Linked DNA regions of Callithrix jacchus. The protein of the gene in region 1 interacts with the protein of each later gene in a pairwise test. Links are inferred from orthologs where the notes say so. Each region holds a gene or a part of one and is shown on either strand. Other genes may lie near its edges.

Region 1 (4,078 bases):
TCTCTACTAAAAATACAAAAATTAGCTGGGCATGGTGGTGCGCACCTGTAGTCCCAGGTACTCGGGAGGCTGACGCAGGAGAATTGCTTGAACCCAGGAGGCGGAGGTTGCAGTGAGCCGAGATGGCGCCATTGCACTCCAGCCTGGGTAACAACCGCGAAGCTCCGTCTCAAAAAAAAAGGATTTCAGAATCCACCAGACTGCCCAGGAATTTTAGAATTCAATATATGGCCAACCCTTTACTGAATGTGGATCGTGAGCAGAAGAATTTAAATTTGGAGAAACTTCTCCAAATGCCTAGAACACCTTATTTAATAAACTCACATATGGGACTTATGTGTCTAGTTGTATTCTACAAGTGTTAGAAATGTAACCCTATTCTTGTATCTTAGGAGGTAAGAACTATTATTGTCCTCATGTTACGATGAGAAAACTGCCTGTAGAATCCTTACTAAGTGGTACAGCTGGGCCCAGAGCCCAGGCGGCTGGACTCCTGACTGCCCGCTCCTAAGCATGTGCCCGTCAGCACGGCTCAGTTCCTCCTACAGGAGCTGGCGCTTGTGCCCACAAGCAGTAGGAACTCAGTAAATTACAAAGATAAATACTGGCTCAAGTAACCAGGACAGATTTTGTTCATACTCTTTCCTGAAAAATCAAATTAATTGTGGATTAATTTTTGGGTGGCTGATTTTTTTGCCTCCATCAATGCAGACTGAGAACTGACTAAATACAGTTAACAGGCTGTTAACTGAGAAAATTAAGGCCACAGGGAAGAAGTGAAACATCAGGGAAGGCTGGCCAATGGGTAGCAGCCTTATCCCATTTTCCGCACTTTCAGTGCAGATGTTCTTTCCAAGCAACTTTACATCAAAAGCCCAGGAGGTAGATAAATTTACCTTGGATTTTCTCCATATCGGACTGCATTTTTTCTAGGAAAAGAAAACAAGAAAATATTCAGTTTGCATCCCACTATCTGGCTGGAAAATATATCTTTTCATCAGGGAATATGCAGACATTGAGTATAAATCCGTCTCCCTCATGACATCTCCCCGCACGTTACCTGTGAACTGCTTTAGCCCTTCCGTCAAGAAGAGACATTTTTGGGCAAAAATGTGGATTTTCTCTTGCAAATCTGGAGGCGTGATCCAAGGTTCAGGAATCCTGATTCTTTCAGCCCTAAATTGAAAAAATGTGAGTAAATAAATTATTTTCCTCAATTCCATGACCTTCTAAGAACCAGGACTGCCTAAGCTAAACTGTCCAGCACAGATGGACAGTCTTTTTTTTTTTTTTTTGAGACGGAGTTTCGCTGTTGTTTCCCAGGCTGGAGTGCAATGGTGCGATCTCGGCTCACCGCAACCTCCACCTCCTGGGTTCAGGCAATTCTCCTGCCTCAGCCTCCAGAGTAGCTGGGACTACAGGCGCACACCACCATGCCCAGTTAATTTTTGTATTTTTAGTAGAGACGGGGTTTCACCTTGTTGCCCAGGATGGTCTTGATCTCTTGACCTCATGATCCACCCGCCTCAGCCTCCCAAAGTGCTGGGATTATAGGTGTGAGCCACCACGCCTGGCCTGCACTCATTCTTATAACCCCCAAAGCAGGTAGCTCACAGCTTTCCAAATATTCAGTACCCAGAACAATTTACTGAATTACATACGAGGCTGACTTTGCCGGAAAGCACTAATCTTTGATATTTATGGTGGGCAATTACCCCGAATTCTCAGGTTCCCAAATACGGAGAGAATGGCATGTTCAGACAGAAAGGCACTGTGGGGGACAATACCCAATTCCCTTGCCCTGCAAGGCTGTCTATGGCAAAGACTGCCAGTTGGCCACCCAATACCCCTTCTACCACCTTTCACCTTTAATGGCTCACAGCTGCCCAGTCCCTCATCGCTGCATGTGACCTAGTGACTGAGTTCCGGCCTATGAGAGGTAAGATGCATCTCATGGTGTTTTGAGAAGTCTGCTTAAAAAAGTAACATGACTAGGAACAGTGGCTCATGCCTGCCATTCCAATACTTTGGGAGGCTGAGGTGGGAGAACTGCTTTGAGGCTAGGAGTTCAAGACCAGCCTGGGCAACATGATGAGACCTTGCCTCTACAAAAAAGAAAAATGAAGAAAAAAAAGTAATGTCATGTGACTTATCTCATTCCTCTTGTGTGGCTTTCTACCAGCTACTGTGGACTCCACAAGAACCACACCTTAGGGATGGTAGAACAGTGAATGGGAAGAAACCTGAGTCTCTGAGGATCGCTGCAGTTACCATACTAGTCACAGGCTACCTACCTGCACATTTCTCTTTTTCTGAGATGGAGTCTGGCTCTGTCGCCCAGGCTGGAGTGCAGTAGCGCAATTTCACCTCATTGCAAACTCCGCCACCAAGTTCAAGCAATTCTCCTGCCTCAGCCTCCCCAGTAGCTGGGATTACAGGCATGTGCCACCATGCCTGGCTAACTTTTGTATTTTTAGTAGAGAAGGTGTTTCATCATAATGGCCAGGCTGGTCTCGAACTCCTGACCTCAGGTGATCCACCTGCCCTGCCTCCTAAAATGCTGGGATTACAGGTGTGAGCCACCGCGCCCAGCCTGCACATTTCTTTTATGGTAAGAAAAATTTTATCATGTTTAAGCCTTAAGCCAATAACATTTTGGGTTTTCTATCTTATACAGCCAAATTCAATCTTTAATGTCACAAACTGCTATGGTCCGAGGGAGCTAACTGCGTATGTTAGGCTGGAGCTAGACTGGCATCATGAAGTAGCAGGTAACAGGAGATTTGCTTGGGTCATGTGGCTGGGACTAGTATAAACTCCACCACTCCATCTTAGGGTCCCTCAGGAACCTCAATTCCATCAACGTGATTCTATCAACACAGGCCTCCCAGCCCCATCTATAAGGCCCTCCCCCATATCTTTAAATGCTCCCACATAGTCAAGCTGTATTTTGCTTTAGGGGGTTTCACTATTCAGGGTCTTAATCACCTTCAAAGTACAGCTCCCTCAAAGTCAGGTTCCACCTGGAAGGCACTTCCTGCACCAGACATAAGCTTCCCAAGGACCATCCTACTCGCCTAGTCATCCTTCCTGCAAATACAACTCTGCCCTGGCTTGCTGCCCCCTTCAAGCTCTCCCTTTCTGGTCATGTCCAGCTGCCAGGGAGCTCTTCCTCACTTTCTTTTTGATGGAACAGAGAATAGCAAAAATAAGAGCCAGAATCCAGGTGGCTCATCCGTAATTATGTAAATCTAGGTCAGTCACACCTTTCTTAGGCCTTATTTCCCCCGTTATAGAAAAAAAGAGAGAAAGACAATGAAGGGGGAAAAGACTGTGAAACGTGTAGGAAGCAACAATCATAAACTACCCTTATACTCAGCCCAGGTCCCGGTAAGGCTACACTCTCTCCATGGAAGTGTCCTCATATCCCTAATCCACCAGCAGCCGCCCACTCCCTGAATTTTACTGAGAAGAGCTGTGGTTCATATAATTCTTTGCATACTAGTGACTCTTTTCAGGGATACATCAATTTGATAAGATGCCCATTCTCAGGCTCAGGGCTCTTTTCAGGATTCACAAATGTGAAGGAGACAGTCTTCTCATATTTGATTTTTTTTTTTTTTGAGATGGAGTTTCGCTCGTTACCCAGGCTGGAGTGCAATGGTGTGATCTCGACTCACCGCAACCTCTGCCTCTTGGGTTCAGGCAATTCTCCTGCCTCAGCTTCCTGAGTAGCTGGAATTACAGGCTGTGCCACCATGCCCAGCTAATTTTTTTGTATTTTTAGTAGAGGCAGTGTTTCACCATGTTGACCAGGATGGTCTTCATCTCCTGACCTTGTGATCCACCCGCCTCGGCCTCCCAAAGTGTTGGGATTACAGGCTTGAGCCACTGCGCCCGGCCCCTCATATTTGATTTTTAACACTAGGGAAACAGAAAGCCATACCTGCTCAATGTATCCCCGATGTCCTGTAAGAGAAAGGAAAAACAGAACCATGAGAAGTCATTTCACAGATGTTTGTTGAAAACCCAGCTTCAGGCTGGCTCTCCTGGGAGAGATCGAGGAGGCAAGGATCGC
Region 2 (4,817 bases), on another chromosome or scaffold:
GTTCAAGAGATTCTCCTGCCTCAGCCTCCGGAATAGCTAGGATTACAGGAGCACACCACCATGCTAAGCTAATTTTTGTATTTTTAGTAGAGACAGAGTTTTGTGATACTGGCCAGCCTGGCTCAGCCTTTTTTTTTTTTTGAGTTGGAGTCTCACTCTGTTGCCAGGGCTGGAGTGCAGTGGCACAATCATGGCTCATGGAAGCCTCAAACTTCTGAGCTCGGCCAGGTGAGGTGGCTCATGCCTGTAATCCCAGCACTTTGGGAGGCCAAAGTGGTTGGATCACCTGAAGTCAGGAGTTCAAGACCAGCTGGTCAACATGGTAAAATCCCATCTCTACTAAAAAGACAAAAATTAACAGGGCATGGTGGTGGGCACCTGTAATCACAGCTATTCCGGAGGCTGAGGCAGGAGAAATGCTTGAACCCTGGAGGCCTAAGTTGCAGTGAGGCAAGATTGTGTCATTGCACTCCAGCCTGGTCGAAAAGAGCAAAATTCTGTCTCAAAAAACAAAAAAGTAACTTCTGGGTTCAAGCAAACCACCTGCCTCAGCCTCCTGAGAAGTTGGGACTACAGCCATGTGCCATCATGCTCAGCTAGGTTTTTCTATTTTTTGTAGAGATGGGTGTCTCACTGTGTTGCCCAGGCTGGTCTTTTAACTCCTGGCCTCAAATGATCCTCCAGCTTCAGCCTCGCAAAGTGCTAGGGTTACAGGCATGAGCCATTGTGCCCAGCCTGTTCTGAAATTTGACCTGGACATTCTCAGTGTAGGCTCAGGAAGAGAACAGGAGGCCCCAGGCCCATGGGACTTGCAGAAGACACCAGTGGGGCCAGTGTCCTGGTCACTCCAGCCTGGTCATCAGCCTGACTCTAGTAAGCATGAATCTGAGATCTCTCACACAGGTCCACGGGTGTTAGACACCTGCATGCTGCTTTGCCACTCGAAAAGTTCATGCCTATCCCATCTCATCAGATCTCACAAAAGGCAGGAAGGACGGAGTATCATTCCTTCCTGCCTTTTGTGTTATTCCTTCCTGCTTTTTGTGTAAAATGTATCCCCATTTTACAATTGAGGAACAGAGCAGGGTCATGCCCAAGATCACTCAGGTATCAGGACCCAGATCCCCTGCCTCCCAGCCCAGAGCTCTGCTGTCTCCCTAAAAATGCTGCCCTGGTGATGAAGGAGATGGTCAGCTTTTAAGGGCAGGGTGACAGGAGATGCAGCAGAGCCTGGCTCTTCTCCCTAGCTGCTAGCCCTGTGATTGGAAGGCACCCAGAAGCCTTTCCAATGACCCATGCCAACCATTCAACCCTTCTGTCCCCCACCCCCAACACACCCACTGTCCAGGAGGACCCTGGCCAGGTCCCACAGCTGTGAGTCAGGATCAGAACAGACCCCTCCCCCACCTTCTAGAAGCTGACAGGAGACTTGAAGGGAGAAATTCAACTCCCCCAACCCTCACCCTCTGCAAGCAGGCACCAGCCCCAAGCTCTGCTCTCCCCCATGGGGCCTGAAAGTCAGAGAAGTTTAGGGAAGGGGGTTGGGGAGCAGGATCCCGAAGCTGCTCTGAGGACAGGAGAGGAACAGTTCATTCACCCCAGTCCCCCAGGGCTGAGGCAGCCCGTCCAAGATTTGAGTTTAAAAATAAGTTAGGGCTGTCCTGGTGGCTGTGTGTGTACGCACGGGGCTCTTCTTGATCTAGAACTTACTGTCTCCGGGCCTCTGCCTCCTGAGGGATCAGTGGGCTCAGAGTTTCTGTGTCCCCAATGGTTCAGGCCTGGGTATGTCAGGGGCTGTCTTGGAAGCTGTCAGCCCACCTAGGTCTCTCTGCCTCCATTAAGTCTCTGTCTCTGCTCCACTGAGCATGTCAGTCTGGGCACACTTCAGCTGCTGTCTTTAGGTTTTGGACGGCCCTGTATCTTGACTGGCTGTCCCCCCATGGGCCCATGCCTCTGTGGATCTCAAGTCTTGGTCTCTTCTTGTCTACACGGCTGAATATCTCAATGCCTACTACCTCCCTTTCTCTGTCTCTGCATCCAGGTCTCTTTCGCCATCTCTGCATACCTGAATGTCTCTGTCTTTAGTCTCTTGGTGTCTCTGCAGGCCTCAGAGAGCAGACTCAGCATGATGCCACTGACACCCACGCCGCAGGGCACCTCCAAGGCCCAGAGAAGGGCCCTAGCAATGTGTTCGCTGGGGTTCTACGTAAGCTTTTTCTGAAAATGCTCCACAAAGCCTGGGTCGGCCCCCATGCCTCTGGTCTGTCCACCGGTAACTCCGTACGCCCAGTGTGTCCTTGTTTCAATGATCTCGATAGCCTCCTGTGCCTCGAGTCCCTGCCTGTCTCGGTCTCTCGCTCCACCAGGCTTTCCGAGAACCTCAGTTTCTCCAGCGCTCCTGCTCGGTCTGTCTCTCTCTGGCTTTTCTATTTCAAACTTAGCCCCCCTCCCCCGCCCAACTCTCGCTGCCGCCCCCGCCCCTGTCCCGCCGGGCAGCCCGGAGGGGTCCAGTCCGGGCAGGCGGTCTCCCGGGCTCGGCGTGTCCCGGGCGCCCGCCGCCAGAGCCCAGCGGGGACAGGGGGCCGGGGCCGCGGCTGGCCTCAGCCCTCCGTGGGTCCGCTCGCTCCCCGGCCCGGGCGAGGGGGAGGACGGCCGGGGCTGGGAGCCGGGGTCGGCGTGGCGCTCACCTCGAAGCGGGCGGCGGGCGGCGGGCGGCGGGAGCGGGGCGCGCGGGGCGCGGGCGGGGCCGGGAACCGGGCGCCGCGTTCCTCGGCGGCTCCTACCTGCGGGCCGGGCCGAGCGGGGGCCGAGCGAGCTGCCGGCGAGGCTGCCGACTGCAGGCGGACCGTGTGGGCGAGTGGGAGAGCGGCCCCAACCCCTCCCCGAGGAAGTCCGCGCCGGCCTGCCCCGCCCGGACCCCGCCCCCGGCCCCCCAGCCCGCCGCGGGGGCCAGACCCCGCCCCCACCTCCCTTTCGGCCGCTTGCCGGCCCGGCCCCCTCCTCCCTCCCGGCCTAACCTGGCTCTCCCAACCTTCGGGCAGCCGGGAACCAGCCCCTGTCCTCTCCCCGCAGCCGCTGCTGTCCTCCCCTCCCACCCCCATCCCCAGCTGCCAGAGGGAGACTGCTGTATTCCATCTCAGGCCGGCGGCACCAGACCCCGCAGACCACAGTCCATTGGGGAAAAGACTTCTGGCCCCCTCGGATCTCCCCGCAACCCCAACCTTAGCCCTAGGGGTGACACTCAGCCCGGCCTTAATCCAGGCTGGAGGAGGAGGTTTTGACTCTGCTGTCTTGAGGCTGTCAGCGGGTACCAAGGTGTTCTCTGAAAACATGGGGCAAAGAGAGGACCCTTCCCCACCATAGGGCCTTGACCTTCAAAGGGTTTTATTCCACAACTTTGAGTGACAAAAACAGGGTAACCACCTCCCCATCTCCAGCAGCCTCCTGACACTGAGAAGTCCTGCTTTGCCTGGGTTTCCGCAGTGCCCAGGAATAGTTTTGACCTTTGAAGCTCCGGGGAGACCCTAATCCTTGGCCCCATGATCTTTGGCTTCTAGGGAGAGGTGTGAGGAGTGTGAGAAGATGGGGCGCCACAGGGGTGGTGGAGGAGAGCGGAGGGGACCTCTGTAGTGTCTGAACCGCTGGCTTCCTTCCTCCCTGTGTCTGTGAGGAAGGACTGGCGCCTGCTAGGGACACGAGGCCCCTCTAGGTCCTTGAGGCTACCCACCCCCCATCCTCAGGCTTGTCACTAGGAATAAATAGCCTTGGTCTGGAAGGGTGGGGAGGGAGGGAGGCAGGAGGCTCTACTGTGTTGTTTGGGGAAACAAGAGACAGCAAACCAACCCCGGAATAACCTTAGCATCTAGAGTGAAGATTCAGGTGCACAGAGACCTCCCCACACCCCAGACTGGGTGCAGCTGAGCTCTCAAGGAGGAACTAACACCCTCCCAGGCTGGGGCTCCTGAGAACCCTTCCCTCCCATTTCTGTGTCATGCCTGGGTTCCTGGGTCCCAAGTCACCTTCCAGGCCTGGTTTCCTTTCAAAATTAAATCATTGCTTGTTTATGATTGCTGTTGTTGCCTAAATGGTAAGAGCCATGAAGGCAGGACTCTTTTTTTGTTCACCACTGCCTTCTCAGTGCTTAACCCAGGGTCCGGTACATCATAAACATCTGATGACTGAATGGATGACAGACACTGCTTCAGTATGGGTGTCCCTCTAACATCCTCAGTTGGGATCACAGGCATCTGCTTTCTAGAGTCCAGGCAGTGAGCATCCAGCCCATGGATGGGGCCTTTCTCTGGGATTTTTTTTTTTTTTTTTTTTTTTTTTTTGAGACAGAGTCTCGCTCTGCTGCCCAGGCTGGAGGGCAGTGGCGTGATCTTGGCTCACTACAACCTCCACCTTCCAGGTTCAAGCAATTTTTCTGCCTCAGCCTCCCAAGTAGCTGGGACTAAAGGTGCATGCCACCACGCCGGGCTAATTTTTTTATATTCTTAGCAGAGACGGGGTTTTACCATATTGGCTAGGCTGGTCTTGAACTCCTGACCTCATTATCTGCCTGCCTCAACCTCCCAAAGTGCTGGGGCCACAGGTGTGAGCCACTGCACCTGGCCTCTCTGGGATTTATCTGGCAGGTGTAAGAAACTCCCAGCCCAGGGCAAAGCAGTGAAGAGTACTCAGTCTTGGTAGAGTGGGTACCAAGAGGAGGTCAGCTCTGGGCTGATGGGAGGGCAAAGGTGGGGCCCCTTCAGAAAGCGGGAGTTTATGAGTGGGTGCAGAAGGGCCCGATGAAAGGCAGAATATTGGAATCTCTG
Region 3 (2,764 bases), on another chromosome or scaffold:
GAAACTCCGTCTCAAAAAAAAAAAGAATGAGACTCTGTCTCAAAAAACAAACAACCAAAAAACCCCCACAAAATTTGGTGGTAGGTGCCTGATCCCAGCTACCCAAGAGGCTGAGGCAAGAGAATCACTTGGACCTGGGAGGTGGAGGTCACAGTGAACTGAAATCACACACTCCAGCCTGGGCGACAGAGTGAGACTCCATCTCAAAAACATGAATAAATAAAATATAGTAAGAGGCTAGACGCAGTGGCTGAAGCCTGTAATCTCAACACTTAGGGAGGCTGAGGTGGAAGGATCACTTGAGCACAGAAGTTCAAGCCCAGCCTGGGTAAGAGTGCGACCCCATCTATAAAAAGTTTCAAAATTAACCAGGAACTGTGGCATGCGTCTGTAATCCCAGCTTGAAACCAGGAGTTTGAGGCCGTAGTGAGCTATGATTACATCACTGTACTCCAGCCTGGGCGACAGAGGCCTCATCTCTAAAAAACACCAGTAACAGGACCCAGTTATTGGGTGCTGACGCGAGCCCTGTGCTAAGTGCTTTCTGCGCGTTCTTTCCAGCCCTGGGTGCCTGGGCGTAGCTGTGGAGGCTCGGAAAGGCGAGGCAACCGGCCTGAGGTGCCAGCGCAACCTTGGTCAGCCTGCGCTGAGATCTTCAGGTGTCGGCTGCCACACCGTCTGCTATCAAAGCGACTGAGGTTCTCCAGGGGGTTGGTGAGAAAGGAACAGGGGAGGGAGTGCGCCCCGGAGGCGAAGCTCTTTTCCCCAAACTCCGAAGCTCTGACTATTCTAGTTGCCCCAGCTGTTTGAAAAATGATCACTCCCCAAGGACAGATCTTGATAATGTGCTTTTTAATTGCACTCTCTTCAAAAAAGTATCTCCTTTCTCAGTTAAAATAAAAAAGACAAGGCATGAAGACCTGCTCTAACCCATCCAGGGCGGTGAGCTCCATCCTGGAGGAGGCCGGGCCAGGCTTCTTCCGAGGCCCCTCCCTGGGCAGTCGAGCACCGGGTGGGCGGCAGGGAAGGCTCTCCCTGCCACAACCCCTAACCCCCATCCCAGCCCTTCAGAAGGCCTGGACTTCAACGTCCCTTCAGTGGGAAGCCACGTTGGGCACACGCTATCATTCAGGTAGACATGAGGCCACTCTTCTCGCCCTTGACCTTGAGGAACTCTGCCATGCTGGAGAAATACTTCTGATTGGCCTCAGCCACCTTCTTCTCCGCGGCCTGTGGGTTCACAATCTCCAGGCCCTAGGCAGGTGAGGGAGAGAGGATGATGTGTTGGGCAAGGAGAAGGCCCCAACTGACACGCCAGAGCCCCCCAGGCCTTTCCCCGTGGTACTCAGGCCTTGGGTGGGCATGGGACAGTTTGCCAGTCCCTGGAGTCGCCCTGCCTTGGAAGATTCTGCCTCAGTGGGTCTGGGGGGAGAGGGTGGGGAGAAACCAGGGCACCTAGGTTTTTAACAAGTTCCCCAGGGGCTGCTAAAAACACCAGTGCCTGAGGACAGCCAATCCTGCTCAGTTTCTGGATGAGGAAACTGAGTCTCTGGGGGATGTGGCTGGCTGGAGGTCCCAGCACAAATCACACCAACACTACTGATGATCACAGTGTCCAGCGATAGACGCCGGCACCTGGCTGGAACTTCCTAAATATTTTCAAGGCCTGGGCAACAGAGCGAGACTCTGTCTCTAAAGAAAATAATAACAGGCTGGGCGCGGTGGCTCAAGCCTGTAATTCCAGCACTTTGGGAGGCCAAGGTGGGTGGATCACAAGGTCAAGAGATCAAGATCATCCTGGCCAACATGGTGAGACCCAGTCCCTAATAAAAATACAAAAATTAGCTGGGTATGGTGGCAGGCGCCTGTAATCCCAGCTACTCAGGAGGCTGAGGCAGGAGAATTGCTTGAATCCAGGAGGCGGAGGTTGCAGTGAGCCAAGATTGCACCACTGCACTCCAGCCTGGCGACAGAGTCAGACTCCGTCTCAAAAAAAAAAAAAAAAAAGAAAGAAAAGAGAAAATAAGCACAGGACCTGTCATCAGGCTCCACCAGCAAGTGCAGGACCAAGTGCCTTCTGTGCACTCCTTTTTCAGAACTGAACACCTCATAACATGGGAGTGGAGGCAGGGAAAGGTGAGGCCCTCCCTGGCTGTGCTAGGACGAAGGCCTCCCTGTCCCACCTCCCACGTCCTTCCCTCCCTGGTATTTCTGCCTTTTACCACACTGGGCATCTTACTGATCTGTCTGTGCCCAGCCACCCACAGGCTCCAGGAAGGCAAGACTTGTCTCTCTCATTCACCGCTTCACCCCCAGAGCCGAGAGCACCGACAGCCGCTGTCTGAGCAGATGAGCTCCCCACTGTCCCACAGCCACGGTGCAGGCTCGCCCTGCTCTGTGGATGGCAAACCGCGGTGCCGATGGTGCGGTGACTGCCGTGCTCCAAGCCACTCACTGCTGACTGGGCTGGGGGCCAGACCCACACGTGACACCCAAGCCCACCTAGCTGGGAACTGTTTCGAGTGGGGTCCTGAGGTTACCTTAACCACTCTAGCCATTTCAAACTGAGGTCCTAGAGGCTGAGCAATGTAACCCGTTCATGGCCCCACAGAGAAAAACAGGGTCCCTGGGATGTAGCCCCGGTCCCCGCTCATGAGGACTGTTGTGCGCCTCTCGTCTCTGCTAACCTCGAGCACTTGCTGTGTGCCAGGGGCTGCCGATGCCTTTGGCATGTCTTCACCACACCCCCCGTGACAGCCCTGTA
Region 4 (4,698 bases), on another chromosome or scaffold:
CCACTCTGCCTTCATCCAGGCCCAGGGCTTCAGGTCCTTGCCTTTGTCAACCTAAATAACACAGAGGCTCTCTCAAAGAAAATGCCATCTCTTTGGGCATAGGGCATTGCAATGGTAATATGCATGGCATAGTAAACTATATGGGTATTCAGGGAGGTAAAGGAAGACAAAGGCTTTAAGGGAAAAATTAGGATTACCTACTTGTTTTGAGATAATTATCGCTAGGTAGAAGGATTCATAACAAGGGTGACCAGTTCAAAGTTGGACAGGCAGTTGCTGGGCAGATGGCCGTGCAGAAGTGGTTTTGTGCAAGTTTGTGATGGCCTTTGTGCAACGTGGTGGTTTTTGCAGTCTTTGTGATAGTTTTATCAGATATTTATGCATGAGAACTCTCTCGTCCTGGATTTCTTGAACTCTGTCGGGATTTTGTTGGTTTTTTTCTTTTGTTTTGTTTTTTTGAGACGGGAGTTTGGCTCTTGTTACCCAGGCTGGAATGCAATGGCGCGATCTTGGCTCACCGCAACCTCCGCCTCCTGGGTTCAGGCAATTCTCCTGCCTCAGCCTCCTGAGTAGCTGGGATTACAGGCACGAGCCACCATGCCCAGCTAATTTTTTGTATTTTTAGTAGAGACGGGGTTTCACCATGTTGACCAGGATGGTCTCGATTTCTTGACTTCGTGATCCACCCGCCTCGGCCTCCCAAAGTGCAGGAATTACAGGCGTGAGCCACTGCTCCCGGCCTTGTTTGTTTTTTAACGCAAGTGACTCCACTTTTGTACTCTCAGGACATGCACAGCCTAAGCCACCTATACCACATTGTCAAACACGATCGGAGAGTGGCAAGGCCACCTCCTTCCCTGGTGCTTTGTTCCCTGTGACCACGAGTTAATGCAGCACACACCTGCTTCCTGAGAATCCCCGACAGGGAACCGGCCGAAGGGCTTCAGCATCCAGAAAGCCCTGAAAGGGCCACATCCAAGGCTCCTCCTCCGGCTCCCCGGTGCTTCCCCGGGCGCGCGCCGTCCACCCGACTGACGAAAAGCCCCAGGACATAAGCCAGTCCCCTTGATTTCTGTCCAGAGGTGGCGGACCCACCTCGGGCTGGGATGGAGGGCGTATCGGGGTCGCCAGGCTTTTTGCAAAAGGGGCAAAGGACCGATGGGGGGCACAGAGAGCTGACGCCCGCGCTCCGAAGGGCCGTCCGGGTCAAGGAGGCTGGGCCACGCCCCCGCCAGCCGTGGGGGTCCTGGAGGTGCTTCTCCCTCGACGTCCTGCCACATGGGTTCTGGCAGACTCCGCTGCTCCTCGCGGAAATCCAGCCGCCTGACGTGGGCGTCTTACCTTCTGGGCCACGTCGGGGCGGCTGAGGGCCCCGGGGAATGGGCGGGAGAGTGGGAAAGGTGGGGCGGGAAAGCCGAGCGAGGCCCTAACCCGCCCTCCTATCGGCCGGGGCAGCAAGTGGGTTTCTTTCTTGCGTTCAGATTTTGCAGTAATTTGCAGCTGGAAACGAGATAAGGGAAACCAGGCTGCTCCTCGCAGTAAACCCACCCACGCCCGCACCTGTCTCAGGGAATCCGCTAGCAGCGGGCTGCAGCCCAGGCTGAAGGGCTTCCGCATCCAGAAAAAACGTAACCGCGCGGAGTACGTGCGCCAAGGAGTTCGTCGACGGCCCCGCCCCTGTCCCGCCCTTTCCTCCTCGTGCCCGCTCCTTCCGCTATATTAAGGGCGGAGACAGCGCGGCTTCCGCTGGGAGCTCGGAACAGATCCCGGGATCCGGGATCCGGGATCCGGGATCCGGGACCCGGGATCCGGGATCCGGCACCCGGCACCCGGCACACGGCGCTGGTGCCCCCTCTGCAAGCCCCAACTCGTAGACTGTTCCTCGTCGCCCGCGCCCCAATTTCGATTTTCAAACCCAACTCCCACAGGATTCTGAGACCACGCCCCATCTCCCACGTCCCATTTTCAGCGGCAAATTACTGTAGAATCTGAACTCTAGAAAGAAACCCGTTTGCCGCCCCCCATCTTCCCTCTCCACACAGGTGGAGGGCAGGTGAAGGTCTCGCTCGGCTTTCCCCTGCACCTTTCCCACCCTCCCGTCCGTCCCTGGGGGTCCTCTGCCACACCGGCCATGGCCCAGAAGCCGAAGGTGGACCCTCACGTCGGGCGGCTGGGATTCCTGCAGGCGCTGGTCACGGAATTCCAGGAGACCCAGAGCCAAGGTGAGAGCCACGGTGGGGCCAGGGGGGCAGGGTCTGCTGTGACCGCCGCTCGGACCTGGCTCCAGTGCCGCTTTCCCGTTGCAGACGCCAAGGAGCAAGTCCTCGCCAACCTCGCCAACTTCGCTTATGACCCCAACAACTACGAGTATCTGCGGCAGCTGCAGGTCCTGGATTTATTTCTCGATTCGCTGTCGGAGGAGAATGAGACCCTCGTGGAGTTTGCTATTGGTAAGGGCGGGGTCGGTTCCCTAAAGGTCTAATGGGCCGGGGTGAGATAGGTGAGTTAGAAGTGAGTCGTTGGGGCCGGGCGTGGTGGCTCACGCCTGTAATCCCAGCACTTTGGGAGGCTGAGGCAAACGGATCACTTGAGCTGAGGAGTTTGAGACCAGCCTGGGCAACATGGCAAAATCCCGTCTCTACTAAAAATACAGAACTTAGCCGCTCACAGTTGTGTGCACCTATAGGCCCATGGAGACTGAAGCAGGAGGATTGCGTGAGTCTGGGAGGCAGAGGCCAAAGTGAGCTGAGATTGCTCCACTGCACTCTAACCTGGACAACAGAGCGAGACCATGTCTCAAAAAAAAGATGTTTTGTTTTGTTTTGAGACAGTTTCACTTTTTTTCCTCAGGCTGGAGTGCAATGGCAAGATCTCGGCTCACTGCAACCTCCGCCTCCCAGGTTCAAGTGATTCTCCTATCTCAGCCTCCTGAGTAGCTGGGATTACAGGTGCCCACTACCATGCCTGGCTAATTTTTGTATTTTTAGAAGAGATGAGGCTTTGAACTCCTGAGCTCAGGTGATCCACCTGCCTTGGTTTCCCAAAGTGCTGGGATTACAGGCATGAGCCACCATGCCCAGCCCAAAAAAAGATGTCTTAAAAAGAGCAATTTCAGCCACTGCACAGTGGCTCACACCTATCCTAGCACTTTGGGAGGCTGAGGCTGGAGGATCACCTGAGCTCAGGAGTTCAGTAGCCTGGCCAACATGGTGAAACCCTGTCTCTACTAAAAATACAAAAATTAGCTGGGCGTAGTGGCGTATCCTGTAATCCCAGCTACTTGGGAGGCTGAAAAAGGAGAATGCCTTGAACCCTGGAGGTGGAGGTTGCAGTGAGCTGAGATCATGCCATTGCACTCCAGCCTGCCCAATGGGAGCAAGACTCCATTTCAAAAAAATAAAATAAAAAATAAAAGCAATTTTTTGACCAGGCACAGTGGCTCACACCTGTAATCCCAGCACTTTGGGAAGCTGAGGTGGACAGATCACCTGAGGTCAGGAGTTTGAGACCAGCCTGGCCAACATGATGAAACCCTATAGGTAACTAAAAATACAAAAGTTAGCTGGGCATGGTGGCGGGCACCTGTAATCCCAGCTACTTGAGAGGCTGAGGCAGGAGAATCGCTTGAACCCAGTAGGTGGAGGTTGCAGTGAGCCCAGATGGCACCACTGCTCTCCAGCCTGGGCAACTACGAGACTCCATCTGGAAAAAAAAAACGGAAACAAAACCAAAAAAATCCCCAACAATTTCAGGCAGGAGAGGTGGCTCAAACCTGTAATCTCAGCACTCTGGGAGGCTGAAGCAGGCAGATAACTTGAGTCCCTGAGTTCAAGGCCAGCCTGGGCAACATGGCAAAATCCCGTCTCTGCTATTAAAAAAAATTACAAAAATTAGCCTGTCGGCCGGTTGTGGTGGCTCACACTTGTAATCACAGCACTTTGGGAGGCTGAGGCGGGCAGATCACGAGGTCGGAAGTTTGAGACCAGCCTGGCCAACACTGTGAAACCCCCATCTCTACTAAAAACACAAAAATTAGCTGGACATGGCGGGGGGCACCTGTAATCTCAGCTACTCTGGAGGCTGAGACAGGAGAATCACTTGAACCCCAGAGGTAGAGGTTGCAGTGAGCCAAGATCACACCATTGCACTCCAGCTCCAGCCTGGGCAACAAAAGTGAAACTCTGTCTCAAAGAAAAAAAATTAACCTGGCATGGTGTCACAGCTACTCAGGAGGCAGAGGTGGGAGGACTGCTTGAGCCTGGGAGCTTGAGGCTGCAGTGAGCTAGGATTGGGTCACTGCACTCTAGCCTGGGTGACAGAACAAGATCCTGTCTCAAAAATAAAAGTAACTCATATTTAGTGTTTTCATATCAAGAGAAGTAGAGATGGCAATCTGTAACTTATAGCTTCTGTAGTTGTGATCTTAAGACCTACTGAGTGATTCACTGGGCAATATTTATTGGGCACGTACTGTATAAGCAAGCTACTGTTCTAAATGCTGGGGTATGGTGAACAAGTTAGGGGAAGGTCTTTTCCCTCCTGGAGCTTACATTCTAGTAGTGGGGGAACAGCTGGTCAGCAAACAAAAAAGCTGATGCTCAGAAGGAAATAAATAGAGTAATGAGAGACAGCAGCGGAAGATGGGGGCTACTTCAGTCTTGGCCATCATGGGAAAGGCATTTTAGTGGGGACACGGCA
Region 5 (4,619 bases), on another chromosome or scaffold:
AGGGCTCCATACACTGGCCCAGAAGACTCACCTAGCAAACAGGGCCCGGGCCAGGGCCAGCCTCATCCTCCAGCCACCCGAGAACTCCCTAAAGAATGATGGGGCCACATTAGGGGTGGGTGTTCATCAGGTCAGAAAGGGGCTGAGTCAACAGGGTTCAAAGCCAAGAATGGCAAGGGTCACTCACCGGGTAGGCTGCTGCTGCATTTTAGGGGTAAAGCCAAGCCCAGCGAGAATGACTGATGCCCTAGGAGGGAAGAAACTGAAGAAGTCAAGTGGAACAGTCCACAGAAGGGAAAGGAAATCTGGAGGGAGGGGAGTTTGATATACCTGGCAGGTGCCTTGTCAGCCTCAATCTCCTCCAGTTTGGCATAGATTTCTGCCAGTTCTGCAGCTTCAGAGCCCTCCACCCTGGAGGGAGGAGAAACAGCAAATGGCCTAAGTGGGGGCAGTCTAGGAGGATGTCCTGTGCCCTATACAGCTGGAAAGAGGCCACTGGCTACAAGAGGAAGAGAATAGAGGAAGGATCTGCTCAAGGGAATGAGGGCAATGGGCACTGTGGAAAGAACAAGGGCTGCTGAGTGCCAGAGTGCCAAGTTCTAAGCTCTGTTGATTACTAGTATGCACATGCAAATGGTGGATTATTCCAGCAGGGCAGGCACTCTGTGAGGGCCAGCAGCTGCTAGTTACTCTCTAGCCTGAAGCCCTCACCTGCCAGCAGCAATCTGGGTGCTGAGTTCCTGCTCCCGCCGTAACAGGCTCTCCCGCACACTGTCACTCTCCAGCACACTCTGTAGGGCAGGGGTGTCATCTCCAGCAACCTCTTGCTCAACGTGCAGCAGGGAAATGTGGGCTGGAACCCGGAGACTCCGGGTGGCCAGCATCTTCAGTAACGTGGTCTTCCCCAGCCCATTCCGCCCCACCAGCCCATAACGGCGGCCCCATGCCAGGTTCACATCAGCTCCAGCCAGCAGTACTCTGCAGGGGTGGAGAAAGGAGACCAAAGATGCTCTAAAAACAGGTGCACAGAAAGTTAACGATAAACCTAACATTGTTTGTAGCCCCATTTCATCTCTCTAAATTTTCCCCTAATTAGAAAAAGAAAGCCAAGTCCCGCCCCCACGATTCCCTCACCTGTCCCCGAAGGACACATCGAAGTTCTCAATTCGCACATCATAGGATTTGTTCTTGCCAGATGATTCCAATCGACTCTCCTTTCTGCTGCCTGCCTGGCTAGCTGATGCCTCTTCTAAGACTCTTTAAAGGGAGAAATGGACAGCTCTTAGTGCTCCCCACCAGTCCAGGCAGACACTACTCTGCTCTCTTCTGAGCCATGCTTTCTCCACTCACAGAGGGTTGCTGGTCTTGAGCATGTCCTTCTCTGACCGCTTCTCCTGCTTTGCCTTAAGTCGAGCCTCAGCCTTCTCAAGCTTCTTTGCATTCACTGTCTAAGGATCCAAACACATTGACTTCACTCTAGGGTGTAGGCTCAGTAAGGAACCCGAAGAGAGAACACCTCAAGTAAACCCTCTTAACTTACCCAAGATGAACGGACTCAAAGGCTCAGGGAAAGACACAGTCAGAAATCCCCCCAAAAGATCCTCCAATTAGACAGTCCATTCCCAACCCCATCACACACTCCCTCCCTTGCTTCCTCCTCCTCACCGAGGACTGTTCCCTCTTTAGCAGTCCTGGAAGTTTGGTTCCACAGTCTGTAAGCGATAAGAAAAGCAGTCACCTTCTCCCTGAGGGAAGGGAAACTAACACTTTGAGTGACTAATATGAACCAGGCACAGACACAGACGTTTTCTACAAAGCTTTATAATCCTGGAGATAGACGGCTATTATCTTCCCTGCACTTAAAAAACATAAACAAACAAACCTCACGTAAAAGAATACAGAAGCATAGGAGGGGGTGGGGACAGATAACCAACTCTAAAAAGATCATGCAGCTGGTTAGTAAGCTGGAAAATGGGCGAGTGAAACCAAGTCTGTCCAGTTCCAGGCTCCTATGCTTCCTACCATACCCAAGGGCTAGGAGAACCCTCCAACAACAGCCTCCCCCCGACCATGGACTCTTCTGCCCTCGGTAAGGACATCAACTAGCTCCTACAACCCTGTCCTGTGGAAAAGACGCAGTAGGAGCTCTAAGCTGCAGGGGGCAGATGGGTAGGGGCAGAGAAAAGGACAGAGGGCAGTTAGTTGAATCTCCCCTCACTCTCACCGTAGTTCTCCGTTATCTTTGACAACTGGATGGGGGCGTCCAGTAGCACCTGGCTATTTCCCTGGCTCTGTGGTTCAGCCCTATGTAGGTAGGGAGAGAAAGCGCAAAGTTAGCAGTTGAGGGAAAAGCTCTACGGCCGTCAGACCTTCTTCCCCCACCTCTTGTCTCCGGACCGTTCGCCCTCCCTTCGCCCCCATCAACCCCTACTGCCCGGCACATACAGGCGCAGAGTGTTGTACATGCGCTGGCACACGGCCCTGATGCCCGCGTCATCCTTGCTGTCCCCGGACACCTCTTGCAATAGTTCCCCCACAGCTTCCACCAGGTCATCCACAGACTCAAAGTCCGAGCTGCCGCTGTGCAAGACGCCTGCGCAGGGCGTGGCAGAACGAGGAAGGTATCAGGTAGGGAGGACACACAAGCAGTTTCCCCAAACAGCGGCCCCAGTCCAGGTTCCAGACCCAACCGGCCCCCGGGACAAGAGGTCACGCCGAGGAGAGGCCTGGCAACAGTCCCCGGCACGACGCTCGCTTAGGCTTTCCCCCGGCCTCCACTTTGGTGTCCTCAGCCAGCTGATTCAGTTCTGCTTACCCGTCACGTAGTCGAAGACCTGTCCGTCAATTTCGGGGAACTCGCTCCGCAGGATTTCGGCGCAAGTCGCCATGTTCCAGTTGAGAACCCGTCCGCGCAGTCGCTGTGAGCCCCTGGCCTAGGCCCGCCCCCGGCCCTGTCCCCGAAATCTCGCCCCTCCTTGCAAGGCGCATGCGTAGCGGTGATACAAGAAAGGAGCGGAGTGCAAGGAGCCCGGTGGGCGGGGCGAGCGGGGCCCAGAGGAGAGGCGCTGAGTCTGCGCTGGGCCGCCCTCTCTGCGCGTGCGCAACTCTTTTCCGGCTTACAGATTAGCCACACATGCGGTTCTCGCTGCCTTCTGGAAGGTGGAGTTCCAGGAGCGGCGGGTGGGGCGGGGGCTGAGTGCTCAAGATTTATCTGGGCGCGAGGCACTGGTGGTCTGGCAGGTGGGAGCCTCCCAAGAGACCAGCGGCTGATAACGCACTTTGGCTTTGCCGGGTTTTATGCGCTCTCTCGAGGCGCGTCTGCTGTGGCTGCGCACTCAGCCAAGCCCATTTTGGAGCCCTCCCAGAGCTGCTGATTCACCCTCGTCTCTGACTCTGAGCGCTGAGCTCCCGCTCCCGCTCCCGCAGTAACAGGTCCTTCCGCACATTGTCACTCTCCAGCAAACCCCGCCACCTCAGTGCTTTGCTTTCGCGGGCCCCCGGATCCTACGGGCTCCTCAGCCTGGTGGTCAGCGCCACCTGCCTGCCCGCCGCGACCTGTCTTCATACTTCATAATTGAGCTGACCTTTGCGAATTAAGCCCATTCAGTTCTTCCACCACCCCAAGGCACGACCAAATCCACCGCCAAAGGGCAAGAAAACCAGGACAACGTGGCTTGTATAAATTCACTGGTATTTATTCTCTACCTACCCCCAAAGCCGACTTCTTCGCACCCTGAATCTCAGTAAATGCCAGTAAAAGGCTACTTCCTTTCACCGATTCCCTCAGGAAGCTAGGAATTTCCTCCAAGATGACGTTATTGCTGTATATTTAACGTGAAAATTCCTCCAATCGGCCCCAAAAGTGGCACCCAAAATTACATTACCACCCATTCATCCCTTTGGATTAAAAACATTGCCATCAGCCGGGCCCAGTGGCTCACACCAGCAATCCCAGCACTTTGGGAGGCCGAGGAGTGCTGATCACCTGAGGTCAGGAGTTTTGAGACCAGCCTTACCAACATGGAGAAATACCGTCTCTACTAAAAATACAAAATTAGCAGGGCATGGTGGAGCATGCTTGTAATCCCAGCTACTCAGAAGGCTAAGGCAGGAGAATCGCTTGAACCTGGGAGGTGGAGGTTGGGGTGAGCGGAGACCGCGCCATTGCACTCCAGCCTGGGCAACAATTAACTCCGCGTCAAAAAAAAAAAACACAAAACACCTGCCATCATGAGGAATCAATCAATCCTGATGGTTAACCATTTTACAGGAAATACAGGTAAAGAGGATTATGTTAAGTGACTTCATGGGGACAACTGGCAAATTCTGATGGGAGGAACTACAGATCTCTGGTTTCTTTGACAAAATTGCAAGACCTAAAGGGAAACATCGATTTTAAAATTTGAGCGTGATCTCGGCTCACCACAACCTCCGCCTCCTAGGTTCAAGTGATTCTCCTGCCTCAGCCTCCTGAGTAGCTGGGATTACAGGCATATGCCACCATGCCCGGCTAATTTTGTACTTTTAGTAAAGATGGGATTTCTCCATGTTGGTCAGGCTGGTCTCGAATTCACGGCCTCAGGTAATCGTTGCTCCTCAGCCTCCCAAAGTGCTAGGAT
Region 6 (4,078 bases), on another chromosome or scaffold:
ATGCAGAGTTCGCTTCCTCTACTTTCCTCCCCTGGTTTCCGAGACCCCATACTCTGTTGGTGTCTCCATTTCTCCTGCCCAGGCTTCTTCTGGATCCTTCCTTACTGGGTACTCCTGCACAGTCTCCGTGGCATTCCTCTGACCCTCAGTGGAAGACAGAGGCCACCTAGGCTCAGGCTTCACACCGCTCGTCTGGCTGCATGTTTTCGCCTGGCAAGCTCATCCAGTCCTGGCTTTAAACCCCATCTCCAAGCTGGGGACGCCCAAGCTTACATCACTATCTAGACCACTGCCCCGAGCCAGCATTTATTGAGCATTTAGGGTATGCAAAGCTCTGCCCTGAGCCCTAGCTGAGCATTAAGTGACAGAGGCAGGGTTTTGAACCCAGGATGTCTGGCCCGGGCCCCACTCCCTCCCTCACTAGCCCAGAGCTCTTCTTTTCCAGTTGATCCATTGATCAAGCCTAGGCCAGATCTCTGCAGCCCACCTGACAGCTTCCTTTTGGTGTCAAGTAGGGATTTCAGACAATATCTACTAAAGCAAACTGCATTTTGTCTTCCACCCTCTATTTCTCAGCTTATGCTCCATTGCCTCTGTTTCCCTACGTTGGTAGACAGCCCCTCCCTTCTTCTGGGGCCTTGGGCCAAAAGCATGCCAGTCTCATAAGAGTCCCCTTTTTCTCACACCTTTTATAATCCCTCCCAAAATTCAGTCCCAAATCTCCCCTTTCCTAGTTTGGAGGTTGTGTGCTGGTTATTTGAAATGTCACCTTTGGGGAAAACTGGATGAAGGGCACTTGGGACCTCCCTGTACATCGTCTTTCAATGAACTGTGAATCTATAATCTTTTCACAACAAAAAGTTAAAACCAAAATAAATTCTAAAGATGGATTTTAAAAGTGAACTCTTGAGGATCTAGCCATTTCTCAACAGCCTCCCTCCCCACCATCCTGGGTCCAGTCTCACGCCATCTCCCATCTGGACAATGCTGTTGTCTCCCTTTCAGGTTGACTCCTGCAGTCGGCTCTCCAGGGATAGGCTGAGTGGCCTTATAAAAACCACTGTAAGTCCCACCCTCATGGTTCTCACTTCTTGCAGAGTGCCTCAGTGTCCTGACCAGGGCCCTGGATGTGAAGTTCCACCCACTGGGTGGCCTGAAACACAACGCTTTATTCTCTTACAGTCTGGAGGCGAGTGGTCCAAAGTCGAGGCCCACAGGGCTGTCCCCTTACAAAGGCTCTAGGGAGGAGTCGCTCCTTGCCTCTTCCAGCTTCAGGGGCTCCTGGCAATCTTTGGCATTTCACAGCCTCTGTCTTCCTAGGGCTGTCTGCGTCTGTTTCTTTATGTGGCCTTCTTATGAGTCAGCAGATTAAGGCTCATTTTAATCTAGTATGAGCTTAACTGACAACAGCACATCTGCAAAGACCCTGCTTCTAAATGAGTTCACATCCTGAGGTTCTGTGTGGGTATGAATTTTAGGGGACAGCAGCAACGTGGGACAGTGGGCTGAGGTGGTGCTCGTGTTGCTCACAGGACCTGACCTGACCCACGCCCCTCCTGCCCCTCCCAGTTGTTCCTGCTACCCGCCCCTGCTCCTTGAGCACACCCTCCCCTCTCCTGCCTCTGGGCATTCACCTCTGCAGTTCCCTCTGCCTGAAATACACTCTTCCCAGACATCCAATGGGCCCCCTCGCTCACTGTTACCCAAATCTCTGCTCAGGTGGCCCCCGTAGTCATTAGAGCTGCTTGCAGCTGCTCCACCTTCCCTGGCACAGAGCAAGATTGCCCCCCAACTCCCTGAAGTTAGGCAGATACCATGACCTGCTCTGGCCAATGAAATGCGAGTGACACTTACGGGGTTCACTAACTTGCCACCTTCCGCAGGCATCATCCTGGCTCCCCACCCCTAATATTCCCCTCCCTGCCTTCCCCACTAGCATGGAAACCCAGAGAACAGGACGTTTTCTTGGCTGTGTTTGCAGTTGTGGTCCAAGTTTCTTAAACAGCACATGGCCTAGAGTGAGTACTCAATAAATACTGGCAGGATGGAGGAATAAGGAGTTCACGAATGAACCGGAGGCACGGTGTCTTGGCAGCCCCGTCCTGCTCTCCGCCCTCCCGTGACCACTCTCCCCTGTAACCGCTCTCCCTGTAACCGCTCTCCCCGTAACCATTCTTCCGTGTACTTGGCTGCTTCCTGTCCAGGGCAGAGCATCAACCCCAAGTTGGCCGGCCTGATCGGGCGGCATGGGCCGCAGAACAAGCAGCCCTTCATGGTGGCTTTCTTCAAGGCCACAGAGGTCCACTTCCGCAGCATCCGGTCCACAGGGAGCAAACAGCGCAGCCAGAACCGATCCAAGACGCCCAAGAACCAGGAAGCCCTGCGGATGACCAACGTGGCAGGTACACCCAGGTGGGAGGGATCACAGATGCCCCACCCCACCCCCCAGGAACCCTGAAGGGCCCCAGCGGGACCAGGCAGGGGAGCAACTCAAAATCCATTCAGCTGCTCAGCAGATGGCTGTGGAACAAATAGCAGGAGGAAAACCCCCAAGTCCCTCCCTACACAGAGCATCTTAATTCTGTAAAAGTCATAAATTAGCTTAGAAATGCTAGTAGCAAAACATTTAACGCAGCACCAAGCATGTAGATATTTAAATAGACAGAATAATGGCTGAACTTACAGCTACACAGAGATGAAGGAAGACTCTGAAGGAGGGAGAGGAAGAAATGGGGAAGTGGAAGAGTTTGCTGTATCTTTATTTCATAAAGTGAAAATGTTTTAAATTCATGGCAAATTTTAATACTTGATAAATATAGATGGTAGGTGTTTGTTTTGATTTTGTTTTTGAGACAGAGTCTCGCTCTGTCACCCAGGCTGGAGTGCAGTGACGCGATCTCAGCTCACTGAAACATCTGCTTCCTAGGTTCAAGCAATTCTCCAGTCTCAACCTCCTGAGTAGCTGGGACTACAGGTGCGCACCACTGCATCCAGCTAATTTTTGTATTTTTAGTTGAGAAGGGGGTTTCACCATATTGGCCAGGCTGGTCTCGAACTCCTGACCTCAAGTGATCCACCTGCCTCGGCCTCCCAAAAATGCTGGGATTACAGGCATGAGGCACTGCTCCTGGGCAGGTGGTAGGTTTTAAAAAATATATATGATTTGGGATACTTTTCAATTCGTTTGAAATGTTTCTCTACTATATGTTTTTTTAAAAAATTAAAGATAACATTTTCGTTGCAAGCAATTCAAGTCTTAACAGTAAACATAAGTAAAGCGAACGCACTGTACAAAGGAGACTTCAGCCCCTCTAGAGCAGACCTCTTTCAGCCCGTCAGGTTGTGTGGTTCTTGAGGTTCTGGGGTAGATGACCTCCCACTTCACAGAGGGGAAAACTGAGGCTCCAAGAGGGTACGTCGTTTGTCTAAGGACACAGTGTAGGTAAGTGGCAGCCCTGGGATTGGGTCCCTGGGGTCTGGATGAACCCTTGCCCCAGGTACTCTTCCCTGTTGGGCTTTGCTGGGGCCATCTGCCTGGCCAGGATGAGCTTTGGTGTCCTCAGCAACTCCATCAAGTGCTTTCTGACAATTCTCCAGGCGTTTGTGGAGCCCCCACATGGGCCTGGCTTTGTCCCAGGCACTGGGGCTGTGGCTGTGATGAATCCTGTTCCGCATAAGCTGATTGGGGAACTGATATTGACAGCTTCTTGTGACCTGGGGCTGCTGGAATCTCAAGAAGGTGTGTTCTGGTTCTGGGCTTTGCGGGTGGGCTGACCTGGAACAGCCCTGCTGGCACTGTGGGCGTGTGTGGACAGCCCTCCCACACACCTTGCCCAGCTTATACCCCCTGCACATGCAGTGCCAGGTCTGCCAGAAGATGCAACTGGACTCCTCCCAGACTAAAACCAAAGTGTCGAGTCAATGAACCTGACAACAAACCATTTTCCAGTGGGCTGGATGAGTGACACCCCCCAGATCCAAGGAGCCAAGTTTGCTCCCATCCCCAATCCCATCCCACTGGACAGGGAAGGTGCTGCCCAGAGGTGCCATTTCTCTGGCTCCTCGGGAAGCCAGTTGC
Region 7 (4,078 bases), about 17 Mb from region 1:
CACACACACACACACACACACAGAGAGAGAGAGAGAGAAATGGCCCAATCAAAATAGCCCAATCAGACTCTTTCTTAGGAATCCGATGAACCACAGAAGGGAGCTAACCATTGGAAGATGAAGCTGAGATGAGAGGTCATCTATAGAAAAAGCTCTGAGTGTCCATTTATGAGTTCTGCAAAGTTACGGGGGAGCCAAATGAGTAGATAAGCAGAGGAAACCAGAAAATAGAAGAGATTGAAGTAGATATATAGAAAGAAGCAAAGGAAGTACAAGAAGGAGAGAGAATTTACAGTTCTAGTTCTCACCAGACCTGGCTCTATCTTCATTTTCTGTTACTGAATTCCCTTACTACGGCTTTGCTATGAACCTGTTTGCTCAGGTTAGCTTGAATGGGTCTTGTTTCTTGGGACCAAATGCCTTAACGCAAATAGTCCTCATATGTTAGATATGCAGCTTTAGCATTAAAAAAAACCTGCCTTTTAGAAATAACCCAGGTACACCCAGATGAACTAGCAAGGACATAAACCACCTCTTTGCTTTTAAACCTCATTCTGTGCTTTGGAGCTGATTCCCGCCAGTGAGCTGGAAGAATCAAAATCATAATCTCTTGAAGTTATACTTTTCCTTAGTACTAGGTGGAAAATATTTCCAACGTGATTGAACTTACCTGATGATGTTCCAGCTGCATCTTGTTCTGTTTGATGATGTTCTCTTTTTCCAATAGTTCTTTCTGTTGCCTCTCAAACTCCTCCTTACCCTGTTAATTTTCAACATAAAGAACATATTATGTCATCACTGTGATTCACTAATGCTAACAAATTCATTGACAGATGAGTAAATACTCTATATTTTCCACTGCCTTGGCAACACCTAATACCCAGTGAGGCACTGTGAATCCTAGACAGGGATGGCAGAAAAATAAAACCCATTCCCATACAGGGTGCCAGCCTTCTGTGCAACCTTACCATTTCCAGAGATCTACTCCTGATTCCCTTCAAATCTCCTATATAAATGTACTATTCTGCTGGGTTCTTTTCTAATAGATTTTATGTGAACCTGTAAACCTCCAAACACAGGTCTAAATGTGGTCCACTTCTCACTTCTAGTTCCCTCAAATCATCTATAGATCTCTGCTCCGAAGCAGTAATGCCCACTGTGCAGACTTAGACAAGCAGTAAGGTGAATGTTCAATGCCTCCATCCTCTCTCTCTCCACTCCCTACTTCAGCACCAGGTGAGGCTCAGTTCTCCTTCCCACACTTTTTTGCACTCAAGGGAATTCAGTATAATAGTTATGTAGTTCTTAGTATAATCTGTGACTCTCAGTCAAATTAAAAGAATGGTAGAATAAGAGAGTAAGCCTAGGCTGGGCACGGTGGCTCACACCTGTAATCCCAGCACTTTGGGAGGCTGAGGCAGGCGAATCACGAGGTCAAGCTATCAAGATCATCCTGGCCAACATGGTAAAACCCCATCTCTACTAAAAATACAAAAATTAGCCTGATGTGGTGGCACAAACCTGTAGTCCCAGCTACTCAGAAAGCTGGGGCAGGAGAATTGCTTGAACCCGGGAGGCAGATGCTGCAGTGAGCCAAGATGGCGCTACTACACTCCAGCCTGGGTGGCAGAGTGAGACTCTGTCTCAAAAAAAAGATAATAAGCCTTAGTCCTAAATAATGGATCTTGGTAGAATGTTTTAATCCCTCAAAGTGGAAGGGACAACTGTCAGAATCCCAGGTCAACTCGGAACTTGCTGGAATTCCCACTTGTAGGAGGCCAACTTGACAGTCCAATGTCCCATACATAGATTAAGCTCCAGGGACAACTAGCGAATGCGCAGTGGTCCTCTAGGTAAGTCTGAGATGGGGCTAAGTTTTAAAGCAATTACACAAACACACACACACAAAGTAGCTACCAGGGACCTTGGAAAATCTCTAGTGGAAAGGTTTTCTACTCTTTTTCTTAATGATGAAAACTTTTTTTTTTTTTCCAAATAAAATGTTATATGGAACCATACCTAAAACACAAATAGAAGTGGAGCTGGTATTATTATTAGAGAGCCTGCTATCCTACTTGGTGAGTCTCCTCTTGCCTGAGATATATCAGTGGGATCTAATCCAAACCCTTACGCCATTCATTTTGCACATGAGGAAATGAAGGCCCAAGGAGGTTGAATAAGTTGGTCACACAGTAAGTGTCAGAGAAAGGACTAGAGCTGAGTGAGTACTCAGGACTCTCAGTCCAGTGTTCTTCCTACTCTACAACACGCCCTCCAATTTATGAACCACGTGGATTAACATTCATCAGGTTAAAAAAAAAAAATACATCCGGTTCTCTCCTTTGGTAGTCCAACCCGACAGCCTCACAGGTATCCGTCCCAGGCTCCCTGCTTGTGAGTGAGCGTAGGTGTTTTATGAGTTTGGTTGTTTTACCTGTAGGTGGACATAATCGTAGTCATCCATCCAGCTCCTCTCAGAACCATCACTGCTGCTACAGTCAGGGGCCTGCTCCTTGCCCAGGCCCGGGGGCAGTGCCTTGGAGTGGGCCTGGGCCTTGTGGTCACCAGGATGCAGCAGCTGTACCTGGGGGCTACCATGTGGGTACTCTGTTGAGTTCATGATGCTCTCCGGCCCGTTCTTCAGATGCAAGCTGCCAGGGCCAGGTTTGAAGAGGGTCTCTGCATTGGTGTTGATGGTTGTGGTAAGCTGCTTGGCATCATCGGGCACTGTCTTTGCCACCATCACAAACCGGTCTAGATCATCACACTTGTTCTGGGGCTTGTTGATGGCCAGGATATTCAGGGACCAGCTGCACTCATTTAGGTCGTGGCTGGTTTGACTCAGGATCTGGTGGGAGTCTTCGACTCTTTGCAGCTCCCGCTTCATCTTGTTGTGGAGGATGAGTTCTGGGAGGCAGGAAGCATTTACGACAGCTCCCTTGACAAAGTGGAGGTACTCCTTCAGGAACAGCTCCACCTTCTCCACCGACGTGCGTATCTCATTGATGTGTTTTTCCATATATCCGTAACACCGCCAGTCGGTGGTGACCAGTGCCATTAGGCTGGAGACACCCATTTCCAGGGCCTGCTGGAGCCGTTGAAGTCTCTCAATAGCTGTGTCGGGATCCAGCAAGAGCCTTTTGTCCTGAGCTGGGGAGGCTGATAGTGAGGACTCCTTGGAGGAAGTGGAAGACGTGGACATGTTACTCCGGGTGCTGCCTGTGCTGGAGAAAGACAATCGGTTGATCCCATCCACCAAGTCCCGAGAGCCTTTAGCGTCGGGTGGATTATGCAGAGGGACATCATAAACACCATCTCTTTCTTGGGGGTTTGGTTTCTCACTGGTTTCTGCGGGTGGCTCAAGAAACTGAATGCCTCGAGGGACGTCATATGCGTCGTTCTGAGGGCCCACTGACTGTCCCAGTTGTGGAGGTGGGTGATTCGGGGACAGGCTCTGGTGCCTTCGAGCCACCGGTTCTGCAGCTCCTGGAATGTCACAGTTGTATTTTACATGAAGGTCCTTTCCTGCTGGCTTGGTGCTGGTTGGGGGAATGTCATAAACCCCCTCTGGTCTGAGATCCGGCCTTCCAGCTTGTCTCATGGGCGGGGGGAAGTCATAGTCTTTTTCCCTAAACCCTGCTTCATCCCGGCAAGCAGAGGGTGGAATGGCATAGACCTGAAAAGTGAGTAGACAGCAAAACGCTATTTATCGAGTTGGCTCATGGGAACATGCGATCCCATGTTCTCCGTCCTATTTGCTGGCACTTTTTCGGTCGCCCCCCGCTGCCCCCAATGTTAGGCACTTCCACGTTTCCCCACGATTCTGCTGTCACTTCCCTTGTCCTTTAACAAGTGTGTCCACCCCCACATTCTTGGTGCGGACTCATATGTGGAACCCTCCTGGCTAAATTGCTTACTCCTGTGTTCTAGTCCTGTGTTTCTGACCACCTCCTGGGTATCCTTCTTCTGCTGATCTGTGCCGAGAGGCAGAGTAAGACCAGAGGTCTCCCCCTGTCTCTTTGGTCGTCACAGCAGCTGTATGATGCTGAACGAGCTGCATAGGTGTCTGAAACACAGT

Evidence for each region.
Region 2: the proteins of TRIM27 (region 1) and FHL3 interact in a two-hybrid assay, tested with the Homo sapiens proteins (2 studies listed by BioGRID and IntAct). The two-hybrid records come from large-scale screens. The link is inferred for Callithrix jacchus from reciprocal best matches to the Homo sapiens genes TRIM27 and FHL3.
Region 3: the proteins of TRIM27 (region 1) and PRPF31 interact in binary tests that used the Homo sapiens proteins (3 or more experiments, as listed by UniProt). The two-hybrid records come from large-scale screens. The link is inferred for Callithrix jacchus from reciprocal best matches to the Homo sapiens genes TRIM27 and PRPF31.
Region 4: the proteins of TRIM27 (region 1) and ARMC7 interact in binary tests that used the Homo sapiens proteins (3 or more experiments, as listed by UniProt). The two-hybrid records come from large-scale screens. The link is inferred for Callithrix jacchus from reciprocal best matches to the Homo sapiens genes TRIM27 and ARMC7.
Region 5: the proteins of TRIM27 (region 1) and ABCF3 interact in binary tests that used the Homo sapiens proteins (3 or more experiments, as listed by UniProt). The two-hybrid records come from large-scale screens. The link is inferred for Callithrix jacchus from reciprocal best matches to the Homo sapiens genes TRIM27 and ABCF3.
Region 6: the proteins of TRIM27 (region 1) and BMP7 interact in binary tests that used the Homo sapiens proteins (3 or more experiments, as listed by UniProt). The two-hybrid records come from large-scale screens. The link is inferred for Callithrix jacchus from reciprocal best matches to the Homo sapiens genes TRIM27 and BMP7.
Region 7: the proteins of TRIM27 (region 1) and NEDD9 interact in binary tests that used the Homo sapiens proteins (3 or more experiments, as listed by UniProt). The two-hybrid records come from large-scale screens. The link is inferred for Callithrix jacchus from reciprocal best matches to the Homo sapiens genes TRIM27 and NEDD9.

What each region holds. Positions count from the first base shown.
Region 1 is NC_133505.1:2,087,940-2,092,017, reverse strand, and holds part of TRIM27 (zinc finger protein RFP), read right to left. Parts: intron 3,970-4,078; coding exon 3,947-3,969; intron 1,177-3,946; coding exon 1,061-1,176; intron 930-1,060; coding exon 897-929; intron 1-896. UniProt on the Homo sapiens protein: E3 ubiquitin-protein ligase that mediates ubiquitination of various substrates and thereby plays a role in diffent processes including proliferation, innate immunity, apoptosis, immune response or autophagy.
Region 2 is NC_133508.1:74,580,568-74,585,384, forward strand, and holds the start of FHL3 (four and a half LIM domains protein 3), read right to left. Parts: upstream 3,092-4,817; 5' UTR 3,018-3,091; intron 2,860-3,017; exon of another isoform or gene 2,688-2,859; intron 1-2,687. UniProt on the Homo sapiens protein: Recruited by SOX15 to FOXK1 promoters where it acts as a transcriptional coactivator of FOXK1.
Region 3 is NC_133523.1:47,313,679-47,316,442, reverse strand, and holds the end of PRPF31 (U4/U6 small nuclear ribonucleoprotein Prp31), read right to left. Parts: intron 1,255-2,764; coding exon 1,129-1,254; 3' UTR 836-1,128; downstream 1-835. UniProt on the Homo sapiens protein: Involved in pre-mRNA splicing as component of the spliceosome. Required for the assembly of the U4/U5/U6 tri-snRNP complex, one of the building blocks of the spliceosome.
Region 4 is NC_133506.1:131,032,768-131,037,465, forward strand, and holds the start of ARMC7 (armadillo repeat-containing protein 7), read left to right. Parts: upstream 1-1,721; 5' UTR 1,722-2,131; coding exon 2,132-2,222; intron 2,223-2,306; coding exon 2,307-2,450; intron 2,451-4,698. UniProt on the Homo sapiens protein: As a component of the minor spliceosome, involved in the splicing of U12-type introns in pre-mRNAs.
Region 5 is NC_133516.1:13,170,175-13,174,793, reverse strand, and holds the start of ABCF3 (ATP-binding cassette sub-family F member 3), read right to left. Parts: upstream 2,906-4,619; 5' UTR 2,889-2,905; coding exon 2,816-2,888; intron 2,594-2,815; coding exon 2,446-2,593; intron 2,305-2,445; coding exon 2,225-2,304; intron 1,713-2,224; coding exon 1,666-1,712; intron 1,449-1,665; coding exon 1,351-1,448; intron 1,258-1,350; coding exon 1,135-1,257; intron 979-1,134; coding exon 712-978; intron 412-711; coding exon 331-411; intron 248-330; coding exon 188-247; intron 89-187; coding exon 32-88; intron 1-31.
Region 6 is NC_133506.1:52,768,919-52,772,996, reverse strand, and holds part of BMP7 (bone morphogenetic protein 7), read left to right. Parts: intron 1-2,204; coding exon 2,205-2,402; intron 2,403-4,078. UniProt on the Homo sapiens protein: Growth factor of the TGF-beta superfamily that plays important role in various biological processes, including embryogenesis, hematopoiesis, neurogenesis and skeletal morphogenesis.
Region 7 is NC_133505.1:19,409,753-19,413,830, reverse strand, and holds part of NEDD9 (enhancer of filamentation 1), read right to left. Parts: intron 3,677-4,078; coding exon 2,435-3,676; intron 761-2,434; coding exon 671-760; intron 1-670. UniProt on the Homo sapiens protein: Scaffolding protein which plays a central coordinating role for tyrosine-kinase-based signaling related to cell adhesion. As a focal adhesion protein, plays a role in embryonic fibroblast migration.